Linked DNA regions of Mus musculus. The protein of the gene in region 3 purifies or fractionates together with the protein of the main gene of each other region. This does not show direct contact. Links are inferred from orthologs where the notes say so. Each region holds a gene or a part of one and is shown on either strand. Other genes may lie near its edges.

Evidence for each region.
Region 1: the proteins of Kdm6a (region 3) and Paxip1 purify together in Homo sapiens (affinity purification with mass spectrometry; 6 studies listed by BioGRID and IntAct, with this or other methods). This does not show direct contact. The link is inferred for Mus musculus from reciprocal best matches to the Homo sapiens genes KDM6A and PAXIP1.
Region 2: the proteins of Kdm6a (region 3) and Kmt2c purify together in Homo sapiens (affinity purification with mass spectrometry; 3 studies listed by BioGRID and IntAct, with this or other methods). This does not show direct contact. The link is inferred for Mus musculus from reciprocal best matches to the Homo sapiens genes KDM6A and KMT2C.
Region 4: the proteins of Kdm6a (region 3) and Pagr1a purify together in Homo sapiens (affinity purification with mass spectrometry; 5 studies listed by BioGRID and IntAct, with this or other methods). This does not show direct contact. The link is inferred for Mus musculus from reciprocal best matches to the Homo sapiens genes KDM6A and PAGR1.

The regions. Positions count from the first base shown.
Region 1 is NC_000071.6:27,743,029-27,746,572, reverse strand, and holds part of Paxip1 (PAX-interacting protein 1), read left to right. Parts: intron 1-2,017; coding exon 2,018-2,152; intron 2,153-2,240; coding exon 2,241-2,316; intron 2,317-2,397; coding exon 2,398-2,458; coding exon of another isoform or gene 2,459-2,519; exon of another isoform or gene 2,520-3,544.
Region 2 is NC_000071.6:25,495,929-25,500,054, forward strand, and holds the start of Kmt2c (histone-lysine N-methyltransferase 2C), read right to left. Parts: upstream 2,856-4,126; 5' UTR 2,623-2,855; coding exon 2,462-2,622; intron 1-2,461. UniProt on the Homo sapiens protein: Histone methyltransferase that catalyzes methyl group transfer from S-adenosyl-L-methionine to the epsilon-amino group of 'Lys-4' of histone H3 (H3K4).
Region 3 is NC_000086.7:18,161,058-18,165,416, forward strand, and holds the start of Kdm6a (lysine-specific demethylase 6A), read left to right. Parts: upstream 1-1,517; 5' UTR 1,518-1,948; coding exon 1,949-2,115; intron 2,116-2,326; coding exon 2,327-2,390; intron 2,391-4,359. UniProt on the Homo sapiens protein: Histone demethylase that specifically demethylates 'Lys-27' of histone H3, thereby playing a central role in histone code. Demethylates trimethylated and dimethylated but not monomethylated H3 'Lys-27'.
Region 4 is NC_000073.6:127,014,516-127,018,668, forward strand, and holds Pagr1a (PAXIP1-associated glutamate-rich protein 1A), read right to left. Parts: upstream 2,838-4,153; 5' UTR 2,407-2,837; coding exon 1,928-2,406; intron 1,768-1,927; coding exon 1,685-1,767; intron 955-1,684; coding exon 755-954; 3' UTR 536-754; downstream 1-535. Other genes in the region: Mvp (major vault protein), read right to left, coding at 4-5. UniProt on the Homo sapiens protein: Its association with the histone methyltransferase MLL2/MLL3 complex is suggesting a role in epigenetic transcriptional activation. However, in association with PAXIP1/PTIP is proposed to function at least in part independently of the MLL2/MLL3 complex.

The DNA.
Region 1 (3,544 bases), on a different chromosome or scaffold from region 3:
GGCAAGAAGCATGGCAGCATGCAGGCAGGCATGGAGCAAGAGGAGCTGAAAAATCTACATCTTGTTTCAAAGTGAAACAGTACAAGGCTGGCTCCTGAGGCAACTAGGAGGAAGGTCTCAAAGCCCATTCTCACAGTGACATACTTCTTCCAAGAAGCCACACCTCCTAATAGTGCCACTCCCTGGGCTAAGCATGTACAAACCACCATACTGAATAACTTTGAAAAATTTTATTGTAATTAACTAAACTGGTACCCAATATGACCATGAGTTTGACTGACTATTGTATTTCTTAGCCTAACAGTTTGAGGACTCAAGGTCCATGGGCGATGCATATATAGCTGAAGTTCCGGTTAGAGACATCTTTATGTCTCAGCCAGGTTCAGAGCTGTTCCTATGTAGAGGAATCAGCAAATGATGTTGTTACCTGTTCTATTGGTCTTCTTGATTTCTTTCTTTCTGTCTGTAGCTAAGATCTTTCTTTGGGGGGCGGGGGATGTCTTCTTCTATCAAATCTGATTTTTTATTAATTTGGATGGAATCCATAGTTTTTCTTTTCCTGTAGAAACAAGAGCATATTCTCTCCCCCAATGTAAGAATTTTGTTTAACCTGCCTTTAAGAAACAATGTATCATCTACCTTACTTGCCTTGGATTTCCCTTGTAATCACCTTTTACAACCCAAGCTATTAAATAGCTATACTTAAATTATGTACTCTTCTGTGTCCCTGACCTAAGAGTGATAGCTGTGTGCTTCAACGTGTGTTCTGATCATCTTTGCTGGAAACAGCAGATGGGCTGGAAGCTATCTTAGAAACAAATATCCATCATTAATGTTGAACATACCATTTGGATACTGCTTGATCTATAGTCATGTTAGCAATACTGTCTGTTGCCTGGATCATTGGGCATTGGTTGGAGTCAGCTAAAGATTTCTGTGAAATCATTGTTCCTTCTGTATATGATGGTTTTTTTTTTTTTTTTTTTTTTTTTAATGCTGCTCAATAAAGAGGAGAGGAAAACCCTTTGTGAGGGACAGAAGCAGACTCGGGGACAGGGACAGATTTCCAAGATACCCTTCAGGCAGGCACAGATTCAGATTTATACAATAGAAAGGAGAGGATGGAAGACACAGGGAGAGAGTTGAAATTCTGAACCTTTTGGTTAAGTGACATCAAGGAAAGTGTTTTGATTTTTTGTCCTTATTGCAACACCAATGTCTTTTCAGACTCTTGAGTTATAAATGTGTTCAGAATGACCACGGCATCTAAATGTAGTTATTTTTCCTGACCACAGGCCATGTGGTCCATGTGGGAAATGTTCAACTAACCCCTCTGTGAGCTAACCCTCTCTGTGGGCTAACCCCTCTGTGAGCTAACCCCTCTGTGAGCTAACCCTCTCTGTGAGCTAACCCCTCTGTGGGCTAACCACTCTGTGAGCTAACCCTCTCTGTGGGCTAACCCCCTCTGTGAGCTAACCCTCTCTGTGAGCTAACCCCTCTGTGAGCTAACCACTCTGTGGACTAACCCCTCTGTGAGCTAACCCCTTCTGTGGGCTAACCCACTCTGTGAGCTAACTCCCTTTGTGAGCTAACCCCTCTGTGGGCTAACCCTCTCTGTGAGCTAACCCCCTCTGTGGACTGGCCCCTTCTGTGGGCTAACCCCCTCTGAGCTAACCCCCTCTGTGGATTGACGCTTTCTGTGAGTTAACCCCCTCTGTGAGCTAACCCCCCTGTGGGGGTGGGGGTGCAGAAGATAGGGAGCTAGTGGGGAACTTAACCTTCATAGTTCTAGAAAATTAAGATATCTTGTAATAAAATCTCAGTAGAGCAGGTGTTCTCTACTTTAATTTTGAGATAAGAGTCAGACAGATCTGGGATTTCATGGCCAGCCTGCTCTATATAGAAATTCTAGAGCTACACAGACAACCTGTTGGAAAAAACAAAGCCCCAAGAAAGCTTTATGAAAAGTTGCATGCAATTAAAAACATTTAAAAGATATGTTTCTGTTTACTTCTAGACAAAGTATTTCTATATCACCCCTGGCATCTGCCCAAGCCTTGCAACTATGAAGGCAATTGTAGAGTGTGCAGGGGGAAAGGTGCTAGCCAAGCAGCCGTCCTTCCGGAAGCTCATGGAGCACAAGCAGAATAAGGTGAGAGCAGAGCCCCGAGACGCCAGTGCTGTGCCTTGTGGGTGCTTCTCCCTCGCCCTCACTCAGAGCTCATTCTCTCTTTCCCTAGAGTCTTTCAGAGATCATTTTAATATCCTGTGAGAACGACCTGCACTTATGTCGCGAGTACTTTGCCAGGGGAATAGGTATGGCTCCGTGCACCTCTACACTGACCTGTGAGTGTTCTCAGTGGCCTTGTCCTAACAGTTTTGGTTCTGTTCCTTCAGATGTTCACAATGCGGAGTTTGTCCTGACTGGAGTACTCACACAGACACTGGACTATGAATCATATCCTTTACGAAGGCGCATTGCAGGGACAGGTGAGGCTGAAGGCGCATTTGCAAGTTAAAAAGGGGCATCATGGTTCTGGTCTCCAGACTTTTTCCTTGCTATTACAGGTGACCTGCCTATTTAGCTTACATAGGTGTTGAAGGATTTTACAGTTTGACCCCATAGAAAAAGATGGGAGTCTATGCCTGAGGGCTATTCCACCCTCCACAGCCATGAGGTGGGAAGTGACACAGCTTGATATGGCATTATAGTTAAGGTACAGATGTGGCTGGGTCTGTGTTGAACAGCTAAGGTTTTTCAGGCTCCCAGGGAGGAAGCCTGTCAGTTTACAGTCTGTATCACTAAATCTCAGCTATTAGTTTTAGAAGGACTCAGATTTTGTTTTTCTTTTTTTTTTAAGATTTATTTTATTTATATGTATGAGAACACTGTTGCTGTCTTAAGACACACCAGAAGAGGGCATCAAATCTTGTTACAGATGGTTGTGAGCCACCATGTGGTTGCTGGGAATTGAACTCCAGACCTCTGGAAGAGCAGTCAGTGCTCTTAACCACTGAGCCATCTCTCCAGCCCAGGGCACAGATACTTGAGAGGAGGTTTTACTTTATTGCATGCTGGCCTGGCACCCTGTGGCCTGGGCTGACTTCATAGGGATCACCTTGAGTGCCAGGATTTCAGGCATGAGCCACTGTGCCCAGCTGAGGTGGTTACTTTAATGTGTGAAAAGCCCCCAGATTAGAGTGATGTCATTATTGGTCCTCCATCTGTGTGGTGTCACCCAGCTGAGTGCATTTACCAAACACTTCCTCTTAGCCCCGAGAGCTCAGTAAACAGAGCTAGATGACATAGCTTGGTGGCCGTAGGAGCTAGCAGGAGTCCCTGGCAGGGATCTTCCTCCAAGCAGACTGAGCTGGACAGTGACAGGAGGCAGGTGTGCTGTAGCATCTGGTCTTTATACAGCACATCCTCTGATGACTTCTCCAGGCTTCTCCAGACTTCTTCTTAACACTGCTTGCACTTGAGAACATGGTAGAGCTGCTTCTCAGGTTACATTGGTCAACTGAAGACCTGCCCATGCCTATT
Region 2 (4,126 bases), on a different chromosome or scaffold from region 3:
GCAGATCTCCATGAGTTCTTTGATTTCAAAGCCAACCTGGTCTACAAGTACCTGGCTAGCCAGAGCTACATAAAGAGAGCCTGTCTCAAACAAACAAACAAACAAACGATATTAGCTTTTGTTTCTTCAGTGCACTCTTTGCAATTCTACACTATTCATTTACTACAAACCTAAATCACATTTGTTACACATCAGTTTCACCTTCTGGGTCCTCACTAACTACAGGCTCTTTTCCTCATGGATACTAATATGGTGTAGAGATACACAATCAAAAACCTCTTTGCTTTCCATTTCACACATTAGTTTCCACTTACATGTTTCCAATACAATTAGAGATTCCACTCCCTTCAAACGTTTTCTAATTTTAAAGAATTTAAAAGTTAGAAGCTAATTACCACTACATTTTACTTCCTTGTAAAGAATTCTGTGTTGCTTTTCAAATCTAAAAAAAAAAAAAAAAAAAATCTAAAACAGAATTGGCCAGAGTGTTCTTAAGACTACACTGTCATTCTTTAGGAAAATGTTTAACTTCTCAAAAGGCCATTTTTTCTTCATTAATAGTGCTAAGAATTAAAATAATTAAGTGGCAATAACTTAAGTGAACCTTCCTCCCGGTTCAAAGGAGTTGCACTAATACACCTTAACTCATCTCAATGGGAAGCACACGGTGTGTGCTCAAGCATTTGCAAGTGCGTGACCCTAACAATGCAAAAATGAGCGCTTGTATGTCTACTCTCTCAAAAAAGAAGAATTAAATGCAAATATAAAACATTTACTTACCTCAAATTAAAGTATAGTAAGATTTTTTAATGTGTTTTGTTTTTTCAAGACAGGGAATTGTCTGTGTTGCCTTGTCTGTGTTGCCTTGTCTGTCCTGGAACTCCCTCTGTAGACCAATTGGCCTTGAACTCCACCTGCCTCTGCCTCCTGAGTGCTAGGCTTAAAAAGATCTTACAGGCCTGTGCCATCATGAACCCTCTTATGAGATGCAGATGTTTTTCAAACAGTGAAATGGGAATGAATCGAAGTAAACTTCTAATATGGCTTAATCCCATGTTGCTTTTTAAAACAGTATTTATGTCAAACTGACCAAGTCCAAAGTTACTCAAAACTCCACAAAACGTCTCCAAATTCCAGTCAAGGCAGGCATAATGTTATCTTATGCAGACCATCACCTTACAAAGTAACAGACAAAATAAACTCGCAACTTTGTATCACAAAGAAGCTAATGTAATAATGTATACATCCTCTATAAAGTGTTTCTCTCAAGATTTTTCACAGCTAGGTAAGAGCTGGCAGGTGATAAAATATACAGGCGACTAAAGGCCCTGGAACATTTAGTAGTAAAAAGATAGCAAACCCTCTCCACCACCCACCCCAAATACACTGTGTCAAGAGCTTAGTGGGTTCCGAGAGGCCAGGGTGCTTGCTTGCTATGGCTCAGTTAACACTATTTTTGCTGCAACCACCAGACACAACAAATGAATGCACGTAAACCAAACAAACAGCCTATCCATAAATGTGCTGACTTCTTCCTGCAAGTCCCAGCGCACCCTTCCACCGCCAACAGTTCAATGAGAATATCATACAATGAAATGAGTAAGCAACACACGCCATTCTGCAACTTTGAAAGACGGTCACCAATCTTCCGCAGCACCCCGAAGAGCCACTATTGCTGATCAACTAACTCATTGGCACTAAAACGGTTTCCTTAATTTTCAAGCCAAGTTGCCGAATAACCACTTTTTAAGACAACACTTCTTGCCCAGTTCATCCACCCGGCACAGTCCTCACGGACGCTCAAAAACAATCGAAAGCCATTGCCTGCCCAGCTGGAGTTGAAGTTACTCGTCCAGCGACGTTTAAAGCTGTCTCCCCTAAACAAAGTGCTCTGGGCCGTCAGCGCCGCGGAACCCGGCCGCGTTCCCGAAACTCCGACTCGCCCGCTTACACCTGGGCCCGTGCGATCCCGAGCGCCGGCTGCGGAGCCGGGCGGTGCGGTTCGGGGCGGTGGGGGATGGGGAGGACAGGCTCGAATGGCTTCCTAATGTATCATTAAGAAGCAAAAGCACCGGTCTGGGAGCAAGAAAAGTTAAAGGAGCCGCGAGCTGACAAAGAGCGCCGGCCGCCGCACCCGGACCACCCGGCCGCGGCGTTTGACAGCTCCGTCCCTGGCGCCCACAGCTTTGTGGCTCCGAGAGGCCGGGCCGGCAGCAAGCTGGGCGTGCTCGGCGGGGCGTGTGCGGACGCCGGGCTAGGCCCTGGGGAAGCCGCCGGGCGGTTCTCCCAGAAGCGAGGCCGAACTCCAAAGTAAAGTGCGCGGCGCGGCCGGCGGGACCTGCGCGGGCGCCGCCGAACCGGGCCGCGCCTGGGCCGCCCCGCCCCCACCGGGCCGGGGGCCTGACAGCTCCGGGCCGCGCCGCCGCTGGCCGCCCGCCTGGCTCCCTCGCGCTCAACTTACTTCTTTCTGGCTCTCTGGAAAGGGGAAGCGCCATCTTTGCGAGGCCGGCCCCGAGGTCTTTTGTCTGCGGCTGCGGGGCTCGGGGCCGGGGCTCCGGGCTCCTCGGGGGGTGCTGGCGGCGGCTGCTGCTGCTCCGCGCTCCGGTCCTCCTCCGACGACATCCTAGTCACCAGGAAAGACACATGGATCCCCGTCCTCCTCCTGGGGGGCTCCTCCCGCCGCAGCGGCCGCAGCCGCCGCCGCTGCTGCTGCTCGAGTTGCTCCTCCCCGGCTCAGCCTCTCGCATTTCCCGCAGCCCCGGGAGCAGCAGCAGCAGCAGCAGGTACCGGGAGAGGCGGCAACATGGAGCTAGCAGGACACGCACTCACACACATCGGCGCGGGCGCGCGCACTCGGCGCGCAGGGGCCGGCGGGGGGCGGCGGGCAAGCGGGCGGGGCGGGCGGGGCCGGCCGCGCGGGGCGGGGCGCCGCGGCCAAGGCTGGGGCCGGCGGGGCCGGGCCGGAGGGCGGCGCCGAGCGGGGCGGGGCGGGGCGCGACGCGAGGGGCGCGGGCCGGGGGCGGCCGCAGGGGTCTCCGCCCGGCCCCTCCCCCAGGCCGCCCGCGGCGGGAGGAGAAAGGGCCGCGGAGGGGGGCGGCGGGCCGGGCCGGGCCGGGGCGGGGCCAGCCACCCCTCCCCCGCGCCGTCAGCCCGTCAGGCCCACGCCGCGGCGAAGTTTTGACAGCTGCTCCAGTTGTTGTGGTGGGTTCCGGGGTGGTGCGAGCGCCGGCCCCTCGGTCGCGCGCTGGCGATCGCTCCCTCACACACTGCTCGCTCACGGCGTTCCCTGTGGCTAGCTCCCTCACGCTCGGTTCAACGCACGGCTAGCTCTCGCTCTTCCCTATCGTTTGCCCGCTCTCCGGCCGGCGCTTTGCTGCCTCACGCTCAGGATCGCTCCCTCACGCTAGCTTTCGGCCCCATCAAGCTTGGCTCCCTCACGCTGGGATCCCTCTCGCTCGCTCGCGAACGCTCCCCCACGCCCGCTCTCTCTCTGGGGGCAGCAAAGGAGGAAGTTTTGCGGCTGTGCGTTCACCACACAAACAACACACGCACACGGCAGTGGCCGTCGCGCGAGGCCTGCACCCGGGTCCCCCGGGGCGACCCGCACCACAGACCTCTCAAACTCGCCGCCGGCTCGCCCACACACAGGCGCCTCCCGCCCCCGCCCCCAGCGCGCTGCTGCCACTCACGGGGCTGAGTCCGCGCATGCGCCCCGCGCTACCCGGCCGCCGCCGCTGACCTCACCGCCCCTCCCCCGCCCGCTCTGACGCGGCGGTGGCTGCAACTCGGGCTCTGGCGGGCGCTAAGCTGCGGACCGGGCATCCGGGATCAGGGTCCAGCCCGGCCGGAGGAGGGGGGAGGGATCGATGTAAACACTCCGGAGCGTGCACCCGCGTGCGGTGCGCGCACGTGCGTCCGCGACCCCCTGCGGGCGTGGGCCGCTCCAGGCCTGGCGGAGTCCCACGTAGGCTTCCCTAGTGCGGCGCAACCGTGGCAGGACAACGTTAGATCCTAACTCCAGCTGTAGTTTCTCCGTCCGACGTCATGTTTTAAACACCGTGAGACCGGAGGCTGCCGTACAAAAAACCAAGCGGACAGGTTGAGTGGGAAAAAAATGTCTCTACAC
Region 3 (4,359 bases):
GTCTCTGGTACTCACTCAGTCAAGTAAAATAGAACACCATAGAACATGTTTTGTAAAAGTGTAATTAAACACGAAATATAATCCATACAAAACTAGTTTATTCATCTAGTTACTAGTCTCCAGGCAACAATTTAAAGCTCTGTCTGTCTGCAAAATTAGTTGGGACTTTTATAGTCTCTCATTGAAGAACACAGCTAGGATTTACTGACTCAGCACTTATATATTCTGAAATCTAAATTTAAATATACCCTATTGATTACAGGTGTAAACTTATATAAAACATATAAAGCTTGGTTTATAAACGGATCTTTTCTTCATATAGTCCATTTACTAATATTTTCTATCCCAAAGACTGGAGGTGTGATGAGATACATCACATTATATCTGCCTTTTCAAAATAGTCGATGGAAAGTTTGGTCTATCTCCTGATTATACTATGGGTCAAACACCAGACTTATTTGTACCTGAGGGACAGAACAAGCAAATGTTACTGCTAAGGGTTTCCTATGTAGTGGAAGCAGAAAAAGGCTGGCAGGAAGCTGTGTTGAGGATTCTATTTCTCTAAGGCCAGTTCACATACAGCTCCTACTCTTCCATGGAGTACCCACTGAGATGACAGCAACAGAACCCAACATTCTGAAATCCCCCTCGACAAATTTCACTGTTTCTGTTTTTTTCTTTATAGTATAACGAATTACTGCTAGGGCGTAGGGTATATGCAAGCAGCAGGAATATCTGGCCCGAAAGTGCTGCCAACAGACAGACCTTTGGCGGTGGGGTGCGGGAGCCAGCGCGCCAGACCCCCTGCAGGCGACTGACTCTTCATTCCTCCCTGCCTGGGGTGAGTGGGCGGGGGTCGGGAGACGTTTTCCCCTTCCCCTTTTGAAAGGGTATGGGGCTTCGCGTGGCCTTGTCTAGGGCGGCGCCCAGGCTGCAGGGTATGAAGCCGGCTGCTGCTCCTCTGGCGCACTCCTCGTGGAGGCTATTATTTCTAGCAGTGCGCCTTCTTCCGAGGGCAGAGGTCTGGGGCCGAGTGTTCCCTCCCCGCGACTCAGCTGGTGTCCAGCCCTGTCGGGATCGATATTCCCGGAGTGCGCGAGCGCTAGCAGGACCACCGAAATCACAGTCTTGGCCCACCCTAGGGCTTCCGGGCAGCCAGAGGCTGTCCTAGGCTTTCTCGTTGGCGCTCGCTACAGGCGGTGCCGGACCTCGCCCAGACTGAGCACTCCCCTCCCCCCCCCGATCCCACCACGGCTCCCGAAGGGACACAGCCTGGACCCCTCCATTCTCTGCCTGTGTATTTAAGTAGCACAACCTAACCGGCTGCTCCCACTGGGTGACAACCCTACTCCGGACAGACGTGCCTATCAGCCAACCACCGACCAGAACTGGCGAGCATCCCGCTCTCGGATCTGTGGCGGCCTCGGTGGGCGGGGCTAAAGCAGCTAGCAAGTTAAGTGGAGCCACGACTGACGCGAGTCAACAAAGGTCACGTGAGGCGAGGGGCTGCTCTGGTTGGCTGCGCCGAGCGGGCTGTGAGGGGGGGGTCACGGCAGCGGCGTGGGGTTCGCTGTGTGACACAATTACAACAACTTTGTGCTGGTGCCGGGGAAGTTTGTGTCTCCTACGAATCCCCCCCAGAGCTCCCGCTCCTCGCGCGCTCCGGCCATTCCCGCCGACCCTGCCTGTGGCTGCCCCCTTCCCATCCCCGCGATGTGACCCTACAGCCGAGCCGTCGCCGCTCCGGACCCAGTGGTTCCACAGCCTCTGCTGCCTCTGCCTTCACCTCTACCGCGTTAGGATTTTTCGCTGCCGCCTCTCGCGGCAGAGGAGGAGGCAGAAATAAAGTTGGTGTGCCGGTCTTGTGCGGAGATTGGAGGCGTCCTTGCGGGCTCCGGCCCGGAGAGGGGGGGTGTCGGCGTTGGAGTTGTGAATTCGCTGCGTTTCCATGAAATCCTGCGGAGTGTCGCTCGCTACCGCCGCCGCCGCCGCCGCCGCCGCCGCTTTCGGTGATGAGGAAAAGAAAATGGCGGCGGGAAAAGCGAGCGGCGAGAGCGAGGAGGCGTCCCCCAGCCTGACAGCGGAGGAGAGGGAGGCGCTCGGCGGACTGGACAGGTACGGGGAGCGGGCACTCGCCCGGGCGGCTCGGGACAGGCTGGCGCCACTCTCCGAGGAGGCCGGAGCGCGGCTAGCCTGTGGCGGCCGTGGGGCGGGCACCTCGGCTTGGCGCTCTCGGCTCCGCTGACGCCCGGGCCTCGGGCTTTGGCACGGACGGGTCGGCGCCGATGCCGGGGCACTAACGAGCGGCGTGTGTCTTTCTCCGCAGCCGCCTTTTCGGGTTCGTGAGGTTTCATGAAGATGGCGCCAGGATGAAGGCCCTGCTGGGCAAGGTAAGGCAAACCGCGGGCCGGAGCGCGGACGCGGTCTCTCGAGCCAGAGGCGCGCTCGCCTGGGGCACCGGGGCCGGGTCACCACTCATTGTGGCCTCGAAAGACGGCCGAGGGGCTTCCGGAAAACTATTTCCTGCTACTGCGCTCCCCTCCACCCCCTGATACCTCGCTTGCTCTCTTGAGAGATCACTTCTCTTGGAGCCAGAGGACAGAGGCAGTGGCGCTTTTGGGGCCAAGCTCATGTGGGGCTTCCAAATTGACTACGATTTTACCGCCCTTGGAGGCTAGGCGGATGATCTCTGAGGTGCCTAGGGAGGGTCATGAGTTCGTAAACAGCTGTAGATTTCCTTAAATCCCCCGCTCGTTATCTTCCCTGGTTATTAAGGCTCTTTAGGCAGTCTGTTCCTGATGCCTGCTTTAGTCAAACATTTCGGGATGGCTTCTTGTCTCTGCTCCCTGAAGGGGGAAGTTGCACGTAGTTTAGGTCCGTAAAGAGTTTGCATGGGGTTATTGACTTGTATCATCATCGGTGTGTGCTTTACCTGAAGTTAGGTGATTTGTTTACTTTTTGGATCTTTCTGCCAAAGATCTACCACAGTTGTATGAGTGCGTTTTCTGGAGCTTGGTTTCCTGTGAGTCTGTCAGGAGCAGTTGGGGAGGATTCTGGGTGTAGTCTCTTGTTTATTTGTGTGCAAAGTTGTTGGTACTGTCATTTAGTTAAGTAATGGCTGCTTCTGTCCGCCCAAGATGGCGGGACAGGGTGGGAGGAGAAAGTGAGCCGGGGGAGGTTTGGGGGAGGGAGGAGAGGTAAACAGGGAAATAAATAGTATCAGAGAAGAATAGGCCTCTCCTTTGGAGTATGTAGCTCAGTAGTTAATAAAAATGATCACAGATTATTTGCATGTAGAATTTTTGTCCCCTTCTCTAGCTTTGAAATAGCGTGCATACGCCTGGTAAATGCTTATCAACCTGTAGCACATTTAGTTACCCATGGTAAGCTATTGAACAAAGGCTGGAGTCTCAGTCTGTCTACTTCAGTTTATATTTCCTGACCAAAGTGTGATTGGAATGGTAGGAGGAGGTTTTTTTGTTAGCTGGGACTCTCAAACTTGGAGTGTCTATGGTAGATGTTGCATTCATTAGACCTTTTCTTCTTTGCCGGAAATCTTTAGGTTTGATTTGATACTTTGTTAGCTCTATTGTTGCAATTGGGAAGTTTAAGAAAGGCGACTAAAGCTTAACGGCTTTAAAAAAAGTTGATTATTTTGCTCCTTACTTTTTGAATGTATTTTGGTTTGGCTGCCTTAATTGTTTTTATCTGTGATCATAATTACGTTTTTATTTTAAAGTATCAAAATATAAGAACTTGTGATTGCAGACAATGACTATAAGGCAAAACAGTCATAATCTTTTTCGGTAGGTCCATTTTCTTTGAATGGTAAGGAAATTTGAATTGAACTTTGACAGTGACGGTATTAATTTTCTTTCATTAAAATTAGCGCTGGAAAAATGTTCAGTAACTAGCTCTGGAATTATATAAATATAAATAGTTGTTAGCCCCCTCTTTTCAAGATTTTCCTCAACCTATTTGAAGTATTTTATGTACAAAGATTAGATTAATGTAAAGTTGTCATTCCAAAGATGTGTGTGTGTGTGTGTGTGTGTGTACACACACCTGTATATAGTGTTTAAATTTAAGGGCCATTTTATTTTGGAGTAAACATTGCTAGTTTAAATTGAGTTAATAGAGTTGCTTTCAGCGATAATTCATTTGGAAATTTAGGCTAAATTTATTCCTTTTGGTTACAGTGATGAAGAAATAAGTGGAATGTGTTTTAAGTGCATGTGTAAAGTGCTAGTTCTTACTTTCATATCTTAGAATGCTTGTTATCAGAATCACACATGGTTGTCCTTAACGTGGGATATTATATCATAAATAGTAAAACCTACAGTTAATATGAACTGAGTT
Region 4 (4,153 bases), on a different chromosome or scaffold from region 3:
CACATTTAGCAGGGTAGCTGGCTGCTGCAGGCCACAGGTCAGGAATTTCCCTCACCAACACTTGGGATGACTTCCCTAATGGGCTGGGCAGGCAGGGGCGGAGCTTGTGTATTTAAAGGGCCCTGCAACTGGATCTTTTGCTCCTCCAGGCTGCACTGAAGTCACCACAGCTGGGGGCAGTTTCTGAATCAGTGCTAACTGGCGGGTCTGGACCGAGACTAGGAAATCAGAGGATGCAGCAGTAAGGGTGGGGGTGGGGGATGGTGGCTGGCTGAGCCTCTGCCTCTTCTGGCTTCAATATTACAGTGTGGAGGAACACAGCTCTGCCTCTGCCCAAGTGAGAATGCGTGCTTGGGTTGAGCTGCAGTCTCTCCTCTGAGAAGATCACCCGGCATCTTTTTTTTTTTTTGGTTTTTCGAGACAGGGTTTCTGTGTAGCCCTGGCTGTCCTGGAGCTCACTCTGTAAACCAGGCTGGCCTCGAACTCAGAAATCCGCCTGCCTCTGCCTCCTGAGTGCTGGGATTAAAGGCGTGCGCCACCACGCCCAACTCATCGGGCATCTTTTATTAGATTTAGCACATCCAGCTCAAAACTGCGAACAGACACTAAACAGAACACACAGGCACTCTCCTGAGAGGCACTGCGCTGGGAGCCTGAGGCCTTCCCCATTACAAGTTCCCCAGAGCCTGGGTTGGGAAAGGCTGGCCATGCCCAGCACAAAACAGTCTGCACCTGTAGGCAGGAGCAGCACCAGTCAGTACTTCCGCTGTCTGGGAAAGAGACTGTTTCCTGAGGATCGGAGTGGAGGGCTGGTGGGGCTGGGGCCCTCTGAGTCTAAGCTGAAGAGGTCTCTCCCGGTCCGGAGGATTTGCTCCTCTAGTTTCTTATGGCGCTTCATGTCTGAGAGGACCTTATCCAGACGCGCCTCCCGTTTCTGGCTCCGGGCTGAGCTTCCTAAGATGGTAGAAAACATGACAGCATTGAGACGTGAGCCCTCCAAGTGCCCACACTTAGAGATCTTGTTAAATACTCCCTTCTTAGGCCTCAGGGGCACAGAGGAGCTAATGTTTAGGTTTGGGCCACACACAGGATGGCTGGTATTAGACTAAGATACCCATAATGCAATGGCTGGGGAACATAACCATCATGTGCAAAGGTCCTGGGGCAGGGGTAGAGGCCAGAAAACTTAAGACTCTCCGTGGACATGCTCTTCCTCTCTGGAATGGAATCCTCGGGAGTAGTACAAGCTGAGGAAAGACGGGACCTCACTTAAAAGGACTCCTCTGGTTGACAATGGTGGATCTGTACAAGCGGAGCTAATGCAACTTGCTGTTGGCTTGGCCGGCTGCGAGAGAGCTCCAGAATGATTCTAAAAGCATATTCTAGGAAGGCCCACAGGCTGGGATGTCAGGTCAGCTCTGGGCATGAACATAGTACTTCAGAGATGTGTTCAACAAACTTTGAACTTCTGGGAAGGTCTGCGGGGTCCCTGATAGGAAAGTATGGCACTGACCTAAGCCAGAACTATGCTGCTACTGTGTGAATGCTACTGTATGAATGCTCCGTCCCACTGCTGGTCAAGATGATGGCTGAAACCAGCCAAGGCCTCAGACCAGCCCACTTGTGGGCGGGGTAACTAGGGGAGGCCCTTTACCTCCCCTCAGTTCTTCCCTCTCATCCGTACCTGGTGTCCGTCTCCTGTCAATCAGTGAGTCCTTTGGTGTCATTGGCTCATCATCAAAGTCAAATTCTGTAGGCATGTGCGGCCTGAAACAGGGTGGACAGAAAGCCAAGGTTGAGAGAAGCACTCCCTAACACCCGCTGGCACACCCCAGCCCGCCGCCTCATCCTTTCCTGCTCTCCCCTCCCTCCAGGCTCCGTGCTCAGGAGAGCAGTCCCGGGAATAATGTGTAAAGCATGGCCTCACTTTTCCTCCTCCTCTTCTTTGGCCTCTGGCTCCTCGTCTGATCTCTCCTCTTCACTCTGGGCCTCTGGGGTAGGCGGCCGGCGGGGTAGGATCTCTGCTTGAAGCTCCAGAGTACCTTGGGTAGCCAGCAGTTCATAGAGCCGCTGGATCTCGGAGGGTGGGGGCATCCAGGACTGCCCATTGGCCGGCAGCTCCACCTCCTCATCGCTGCAGGGCACGCACCAGTCTTCGGCTTCTCCCTCCGCACGCTCGTCGCTCGCAGCGCTGGGAGCTTCTAGTGCCTCCTCAGGCCTGGATCCCTCACGCCCGGCCTCCTCCTGACTGCCTTTCCCCTCTTCCTCGGCCTTACTAGCCGAGACAGAGGGACCTCCAGTGTCCTCCACCGCCAGAGCTTGGAGGCCGGAAGTCACTTCCCCTTCTTCAGACAGAGGCGCTGCTGTGCTGCCTGCAATGGTTCCATGGCCCAGGGCAAGGGACATAGAGTACTAGAGAAGAAGCCCAGCAATAGAGGAGATTCTAGAGTACCAAACCAGTGCGCCTCACCCGAAAGGCTGGAGAGCCTTTCTAGGTCTAGGAAATCGCCAGTCAGTCCAACAGCTGACTGCGGCCAGAGCACCGTCCCCAGGAGGGGGCGCTCAAACCCCTGCAAGGACAGACCCCACCCCACGGACCCAGAATTCTGCCGTTCCCAGGGACCCGCAGGAAACACGCTCGGAGCTGGAAAGGGAAGGGCCTGTTTTCTCGCTTTCACATCGCCTTCTCCATCACCGGGATGGAAGTCATCTTTTTAGACCGGGCAAACCTAGTTCGCGTCTACTCAGCAGCGGTACAAACCTGGAGCTAAAACCCGCCTCCCAGGCTGCGCAGCATCTCAGTACGCAGGCGCAGAGAAATGGCGCGCGGAGGCTCCGCGGTAGTCAAAGCTACTTGGAAGAGGAAAGAGAAGACTTGCGCATGCGCAATTTGGCCCTTAGGACTCATTAACCTCGGCCCATACTAAAGATGGCCACTGCGGCAGCGCATGCGTATTCCGTTCAGTAGGGCCTGCCAGAAAGCAGTACCTTGACTCTGCAAACACAGGGACCAACTGAGGCCAGTCTCATGCATTCTCTGTTTATTAGTGTTTAAGACTCATGCAGCATTCAGCATACAAAAAGGGAGACTCAGTTTTATTTTTTGAAAAGGAATTTTAGTTTTCCCCCAACTTTTTTTTTTTTTTTTAAAAAAGAAAGGAAACAAACAAAAAACCCCGCCAACTCTGAAATGCATCGCAGCTGGCTCTCTGCCTCCTCAGAGGGCTGTCGCGTGCAACAAACCTCCCTCATCCTCTTAGAGAATAATTACAGAGCTCCCCCACCCTTCCCTTGCTCCCTGCAGCTGGGAACTTTGGTCCTGTTTTTGTTTGTTTGTTTTGTTTTGAATTCTACTGTTTACAAAGCACATAAATAGACCTTCAAACAAGAAACTCTGAGGTTAAAAAGCCCAAACGGGCAGATCAATTCAGGCTGACTCTTCAGGCGCAGCTATGCCCCTTCCTCCCCTGGATGTTCAGAATAAGGACTCTCAGAAGGTCCCCCAGGTGAGGACTCACTTGCCAGCTTTGGGACCCAATAGGCACCTTAGGGGTAGGGGTAGGGTATGGTCTGGGCCTGGGTGGTCCCCAGTAGAGAACAGTCAGAGCCCCCAGCTAGGCTCCTCTCCCCACACCATCCTTCTTCCCTCAGCCTGACCTAAGTACTGCAGTTTTTGCAGACTAAGTGTTGGCAGGAGGGTGAAGACGCTAAGGGGGAGATGAAAAGGGAGAAAGGGTCAGGGGACGTGGCAAGGGGAAAAACGGTGTTAAGGAAGGGGAGAACGGGATGGGTTAGATACCAAGACAATGAACGTTGGGAGGCCAGGGATAAGGTTCAGAGGATTCCAGAGGCAGGAAGAAGTGCAGGGAGGCTGGGAGAGATGCAGAGGTGCAGAGTACAATTTAGATGTTCAGGAAGGCTTCCAGAAGTGCAGAGAGGTTTTCAGAGTGCAGGGTTAGGGAGGTCAAGAGGCAGGAGTGGGGTGGGGGTCTGCAGGCAAAAGTGCAGGGAGAAAGGAAGCCTATGGCTGGCAGAGGAGCCTGGCAGGATGCAGGGGGAAAGAAGCTGTAAACAAGGCCGCTCAGGCTCCCTTGGTCCCTAGAGATGGGGGCCAGGGCCATGGACTGGGATTCTCCCAGGACAGGGATGGACC